2 linked regions of the Cricetulus griseus genome follow. The protein of the gene in region 2 purifies or fractionates together with the protein of the main gene of each other region. This does not show direct contact. Links are inferred from orthologs where the notes say so. Each region holds a gene or a part of one and is shown on either strand. Other genes may lie near its edges. The genes, in order: Smc4 and Ncapd3.

Region 1 (3,825 bases), on a different chromosome or scaffold from region 2:
GATCTTACTTCATGTGCTTTAAATCTCTTATTAGTATAAGCGTCAAAGATTCTGATAAAAAGCTAAGAAAATCTCACAGAAACTACTTCCACTTTCCCTGGAATTTAAAAGGATTCTATGAGTTTTATCTAGCCCAATTTCTCCCTTTTCTTCCTAAAAGGCAAGTTGCTAAAAAGTTCTTATCTAAGTTCAATCAAAAATGTAAAAACTTTAAGAGCACAGAAAGGGTTCAGATAATGAAGACAAATTGAAGGAGCATCTTCAGTGCATCAGAAGCATATGTTTTAATATAAACTTAACACTTTACTATTATTTCTTTGGGAAATTGCTTTATTACCTTTCTTTATTACCGAATTACATATAAATAAACCACACAAAAACATTACAAGACCTAAAATATAGTCTACTTTGCACTGGCACAAGATTGATTATTTCAGTATAAAACTAAGCAAATAGCAAAGAATAAACAAAAAGTGAATATAATTTCCTTCAAAAATGTTACCACCACTTAAATTTAGCATTACAAAGGAACACAACTTTTTAATCTATAGTTTATCAAGCCAAATTCTTGAATATAGAAATCCACAAAACAGTACAATTAATTTAAAAAACAAAACAAAACAAAAACACCCACAATGGCTTAAGACTGAATCTATATAAATTCAAATTTTTACAATCAAATCTTATTTGTAACTGATTTTTTTTTCAAATTTTATTTTTAAGTAACAGTGGTTTATTGAAATATTGTAAATGCACCATTTTTGATAGTTAAGGGGTACTAAAAGTTATTCCAGAAAATTTTACTTGCCTTCTATGTGACATATGCTTAAAATAATAATAAAAAACCCTGAAGAATAGTCTAAAATGTTTGAAAAATTCTAACTTGTTAATGGTAATAGTTACCACAACAAAACATTTTATATCAAATCAAAACTCCTAACTTATTTTAAAATCAGTAGCACATGATAGTGTATTGGCAGTTGCTTCTATATAATATGCAACCTCTCTCTTTAAATTTTATTTATCCTTAGTAACTTGGGATAGAACAAGAGAATAAGACCTTTAAATCAAAACAGGAATTTCACAGTATCTAACAAAGCCATATTTCACTAACCAACCAACCAAAAACAAAACAAAACAAACAAAAAACCCCAACCAACCTCTCCATTCCAAATGACAAAAATCTTCCTTGTACCAAGTTATAATAGCAGGATATACTTTTACACCCATACACGCCCCAAAAGGAAAAACAAAAACAAACCAAAAAACCCCACAGGGTCTAATAAAATATCAAATTAATACCAGACATTAATTTTTATGCTCTTTTAGAAGACTTCTCTGAGAGTCGATACTAATATTACTGGTTTAGCAATTAGGCTACTGTAAATAAAACAAGACCCATCTTGAGTAAACATTTATTATTATTATTACTATTATTAATGTCAAAAGTACTATATTAGGTGATCAGGGGAATTTCCTTTTGTTAAATATCAAGCATATAGTTTTTATGTTAGAAAAAAATGACAAACAAAAAGGGGAGACTATTAAAAGATTTTATTTCAAATGGTAAAGGGAAATACAAACAGAAATGAGAGCTGCTGTATGCCTGTCACACTAAAGCAGCACAATAATATTGGTGTTTAATATTTATTTCACTACGCCAATATTTACGTGCTGCTAGAGCGGAACAAGTATGTCAGATATCCAAACAAAATGAACATGTGATGATAACCATATCATTTAGAATGAATTTCCTTAAATTTCTAGAGCAGCAAATAATGATTCGCATCTTGACTATAGTATGTAAACCATGATGTGCTGCTATAGTACTTTAAGGTTCCAAAATAACAGGATTCAAACAGAAGAACACTCTTTCTAGCTTTATTACAAAACAAAAATTAAAAACCAAGAACTTTGGAAGTGTTTATGAACTTACCTGCAATATTAAAAATCGATTATGGTCCAAGTCAATTCCATGGCTTCTAAGAAGATTTCCAACATCTTTAAATGTCCTCTTCTTCCCACTTATATGATAGACAGAAGTGTTATCTCTGTAGGCTGTTCTAGATACATAGAAGTTACTGTTAGGAATAACTTCATAATCATCCCCTTCCTGTTTTTAGGGAAAAAACAAAACCAGAAAATGGTTGGTATTAAGTTACAGGCAGGTCTGGTCCAGATTTCATTTACTTTTATACTGAAACCAATTCAATAGATTAAATATTTCATAAAATTTTTCTTGTATTTTTCTTGACAAATTCACACACACACACACAAAAATAATTTGTCCTTATCTCCCCTGAATTAAATATATACAAAAATTGACAATTGCTCTAAAATGAGTTTTAAAAAATTGCTTTAGCAGGGATTAGATACTTCTCCAAGTTGTTGGGTTTCTTTCTCAAAGCTCTCTAAAACCAAAAGCCAAATCAAGTAAACAAAACTTTAGCTCTCAACAAGCCAAAAATTGTATTTGAATAAGAGCCAATGAAGGTGGACAAGAGTCCCACCGTCTCTAAAACAACCCCACCCTACTCAACCTAATAACCATGTTGACTGGTTAAAAAGCTATATAGGAAGAGATAATTTAAGGAAAATATTAAGGGGAAACTTTTTTTGGTGGTGGTATTGTGGGGGAGAACAGCTTGTCAGTCAGGTATGTGTGGCACAACACAAGATACCCTTTGCACCCAGCATCCCTATCATCATTAATTGAAAGTAAAACCATAAAAATCTCACAATTATATACCTGATAAAGGGAATCAATTATGAATCTATTTTACCATTAAAGCTCATTCATTTTTAAGGCCCGGTCATATTCAATTTTAGACAACTCAAACTTAACAGGCATTGGATATCTGATTTATTGGCAATCTATTTTCTAACTCAAAAGTACAACAGAATGAATTAAGAAGCAAGATTAAGATAGATGCTTTTGTGAAATTAAATTTCTTTATGTCTAAAAAAAGAGAACAATCCCCCAGCACCTATATTATCTAACCACTTCATTATGTGCATTTCTTTATTCCTTTTTAGGTTCTTTTCAGTTGATTTTTGAATCATTAACTGTCTAAATAGATGAGAAAAAAACACCCACAGAACCATGTAAATAACCTGGTGATTATTTATAATTTTATTTCTAGAAAACAAAAACAGTAGCCTGCCCCCTATCATTTCAAAAAAGAAAAAAAAAAAAAAAAGCATCACGGTAGTTCAAACCTTAGAAAATTTTTTTCATTTCATCTCACACACATACACACTGCTACTAATGACACATTTAATGTATGTTGGAATAATGGGGGTGGCAAAAATCAGTAAATTATTACATTTTAAAGATTAAAACGTTTACTCTAAAGCAATAAAAAGTATAACTTAAAAATGAAGCCAGTATTTACAGTGAATGAATGCTTATTTAGTCCTTGGGATCCCCCAAATCAGTATTTTCTTCCAAAGAGTTGAAGTAAATATGGTCACAGAAGGAATATTTCTTTTGCTTTAATTATACAAAAAGTGTAAGAAATAATTCAGATCTATGAAAACAAAATGTGCCACGATGTTTCTTTTTCTTGCTTGAAGTTGCAAGTAGAAAATAATTTCTTACCTTATCAATTATCTTTTGAAAATGAACTTCTACAGTACAACTCTGGATATCCTTGTGTTCATCAGAATTATGTATCAATACTGACAGCTTTTTAGACCTTATTTTTTGTGCTCGATAGCCAAACACAAAAAGCATGGAATCAATAACATTGGATTTTCCACTGCCATTTGGCCCAATAATACAGGAAAAGCGCTGTGTAAAAATAAATTTTTTAAAAATTTAAA
Region 2 (3,825 bases):
ACAAACATAATACAAACAATCAATCAATACAAACAATACAAACAAATCTAGCACAAAAAGAAGACATAGTAGAAGTGGAGAGTTATTGAATAAGGCCACAGGGGAGTAGTCAGTGATGGGAGTGCAGGCCCTGCAGAGTAGACAGCAGCCCTGAGATCAATTCTACTGAGGTGATGCAACAAGCAGAGTTCTGGTGACTAGACAATACAGTCAGAGTGGAGGTGCCCACTGCAGTTGGCATAGAGTGTAACTGTCAAGGAAAGCAACAACATACAAAAGGATTTCTCCTCCCCCTTTCTCTTCATCTCCAGCCGTGTCTTGCTATGCACTCCAGGCTGGCCTCAAACTCGGTCTTTCTGCTTTAGCCTCCCAAGTACGGAAATTATAAACATGCCACCATGCCCAGTTTAGTCTGTGAAGCAGTTTGTGCTGTGCGGTATAGGTACTCTGTAGCATTGCCTATCCCTTACCCTGTCTTTTTTGTTACTGTTTTTGGTTGTGGTTTGTTTGTTTTTGAGGTGGGATCTCACTATTATCTCTGGCTGTGCTTGAACTCACTATGTAGACCAGGCTGGCCTCAAACTGGGAGATCTACCTGCCTCTGCCTCAAGAGTGCCGGGATTAAAGGCATGTGCCATGTGCCCTGCTTTTTGGCCTATCTTTTGAAGGAAGGCAGAAACACATAGTCTGGTTTCCTGAATTTTGTTAGTCTTTGTTATTTTTAAAGGTGCCCAAGGCCTGTTGTGGTTGTACATACATGTAATGTACTCAGGAGGGAACCAATGCTGTGAGCATGTCTGTGGGGTATTTTCATGATTGTTAATTTATGTGGGAGGGCTCAGCCCCATGAGGCTAGTACCCTAACTACGTAGGGTAGCCCTGGGCTGTATAAGAAGCTAGCTGAGCAAAGGGAAGAAAGTTAGCTAGTGAGCAACATCCCTCCAAGATTTCTGCTTCAGTTTCTACTCATGTTCCAGCCCTGATTTCCTTCAGTGATGGATTGTGACCTGGAAGTATAAACAAAATAAACTCTCCTCCCAACAGGTTGCTTTTGGTCATGATATTTACAAAGCAACAAAAAAGCAATCTAGAGTACTTCTCTCATCATTATGGACTGTAAAGCAGAGATGGCTACAAACCACAGCTGGGCTGTAATCTTCAAAACCTGCCACTAGTGACCTACTTCTGCCAGCCAGTCCCTACCTCCTCAGGCTTCCACAGCCTCACAGTATGGCATCAGCAGCTGGGGAACAAACAGTAACACAAAGACCTGTGGTGGTGTTTCAGAGTCTACCAGAACACCTTAGTTTTTGTTTCCCTCTCTTTGGAGATGGCAGACATTTATAATGAGAAGTTAGACTGTGTATATGCTCGTACATGCACATGGGTATGGGTGTGTGTGTGTGTGTGTGTGTGTTGTGTTAGTAAAGCTCCAACCCAAGACTTTGCATGTTAAGCAGGCACTGAACTGTAGTTACACTCCTTATTTCTCTTGAGAGGCTAGGTCCTTGTAAGCATCAGTGAGCTTTCTTCCAATTCATCTAATTACTGGCTTTTGTGATTTGCACTCTCCTCCCAGAGCATCTGGACTTTCTTCGTTGAGAATAATATTTCCATTAATACACTGGTGGCCTTATTCTGCCACTTTGTCCAGGAAGCACATAAAAAAGGTGCCAGTGCACAGAATCGAGAATATGGCCTTCATGCTGCTGGGCTCTATTTTTTGCTACTAGAAATACCAGGTATGTATATGTCTGGCTGTCTGTGTTTATAGGTTCCACATCTGTTTACAACCAACTGGATGGAAAAAATACTTGAAAAGAAGCTGTTACATTTGTTGATACTGTGTATGTTCTTAAGCCTGTAATGATTGGGTCTGTATTGAACATGTACAGGTTTTTGTCTTAGTTCCTAACCCATACAGCAGAGCAGTTCATAGTGTTTACCCTGTGTTGGATATCTAGAGGTGATTTGAAGTACACAGGAACATGTGTGTAGTTTATATGCAAATAGCCATCTTCAAAGAGAAACAAAAGTTTCTGATTATTCAAAATTTTATGTAAGGGACTTGACTTTTCTAGTATCATCAGATTTGGTGGTATGATCCCTCGTTACTTTTTCAGATATCTTTATTTTTTATCCTCCTTATGTATTTATCTACTGCTCTCCTCACTAGTTAGAGCCTCCTCCTTTTTCCCATTTCCCTGATCAGATCACTGTGTCCTGCTCTTCCCCCTCTCTATAGCTCCCTTATTCCCCCACTCTGACAATTCAGGCTCTGAATTCATGTCTGAAGATTTGGAGCTAAGAGCTTCTGATAAGAGAAAAACATGCAACATTTGTTTCTTGGGGTTTGGCTTATCACTAATATGATCTTTTCTAGTTAACCTGCAAATTTCATGATTTCATTTTTCTTTACTGCTGAATAATACTCCACAGTGTAACTATACTACATTTTCATTATCCATTCATCATTTGAAGAACATTTAGGTTGTTTCCATTTCTGAGTTATTATGAGTAGAACAGCAATGAACATAGCTCAGCAAATAAATATGGAGTAGGATATTGAGTCCTTCAGGCATATGCTAGGAAGGGTTATAGCTGGGTCATATGGTACATGTATTTTCAGCTAGCTGACAGTTCCTCATACTGATTTCCATAGTGGCTCTACCAGTTTGCAGTTCCATCAAAATTGAGTGAGGGTTCCCTTTTGCCTACATAGGCTCCTGCTTTTGTTTTTATTGTTGATGATGGTCTTTGCCATTCTGACTGAGGTAAGATGAAATCTCAGAGTGGTTATGATTTGCATTCCTCTAATTGTTAGGCACTATGAACATTTTGGGGGATATTTCTTAGCTATTTTTCATTTGAGAATTTTCTGTTCAGGTCCGGGTCCTATTTTTTGAAGTGGTTGCTTTTTCTCCCACCCATCCCCCTTTTGGGGGGGATTCTTTGTATTTTGAGTTCTTTAAATAAAGTTCTACTTGTCAGTTGTTGGCTCATTTCTTGGGCAAATGGAGTCCTATTCAGAAAGTCCTTTCTGATAGCTGTTATCAGGTAGGGTAATACCAACATTAATCCCTATGTTTTCTTCTAGCAGTTACAATGTTTCCGGTTTCAGATTTAGATCTTTGACCCATTTGAAGTTAGTTTTTATGCAAGGCGATAAATATGGGTCTAATTTCATTCTTCTACATGTGAACATCCAATTTACCCAGCACAAATTGTTGAAGATACTTTCTTTTTTCCAATTTATGTTCTTGGCCTCTGTGTCAAATATTAAATGGCTAAAGCTATGTGTACTCATGTGGTCTTTGATTTTGTTCTATTGATCTACATGCCTGACTTTATGTCAGTATTATACTCTTTTTTTTTTTAATTGTTATGACTATTGTTGTTAAAGTATGTTTCCCCTCTCAGTGCTTTGAGTATTTTAAAGGTCTTTGTACTCTGGCTGTGTAGAACACAAATGTGTCAGCCCCATGGGAAGTGTAAAAATCATTTTTCTTCTTTTTTTTTGTTCTAATAGTTGTTCACTCACCATGATGGAGTTTTTATTGCACACGTGCACAGTGATGCTCGGCCTGCACAGAATCTTGTAGCTTTTTTTTATGTAGCTGCCCTTCTTCATAGGTCCCAGCTGCCTTGCCTTTCTGACTCTGATTCCTCTACTTTGTAAGGCTAGCATCTGCATGGATTTACCACTTCTCTGCTGAGATCCAGAAATGACCTACAGAGACAAAATTAGGGCAATTTCAGGTTTTATCTGCCCCCTTTTTATATTGATTATGTTAGATGTCTTTGTCCAATTTTACAGTGTTTTTA

The links.
Region 1: the proteins of Ncapd3 (region 2) and Smc4 purify together in Homo sapiens (co-immunoprecipitation; 3 studies listed by BioGRID and IntAct, with this or other methods). This does not show direct contact. The link is inferred for Cricetulus griseus from reciprocal best matches to the Homo sapiens genes NCAPD3 and SMC4.

Annotation. Positions count from the first base shown.
Region 1 is NW_023276806.1:84,129,251-84,133,075, forward strand, and holds part of Smc4 (structural maintenance of chromosomes protein 4), read right to left. Parts: intron 3,794-3,825; coding exon 3,602-3,793; intron 2,114-3,601; coding exon 1,937-2,113; intron 1,834-1,936; exon of another isoform or gene 1,756-1,833; intron 1,697-1,755; exon of another isoform or gene 1,602-1,696; intron 1-1,601. UniProt on the Homo sapiens protein: Central component of the condensin complex, a complex required for conversion of interphase chromatin into mitotic-like condense chromosomes.
Region 2 is NC_048597.1:139,549,538-139,553,362, forward strand, and holds part of Ncapd3 (condensin-2 complex subunit D3), read left to right. Parts: intron 1-1,579; coding exon 1,580-1,742; intron 1,743-3,825.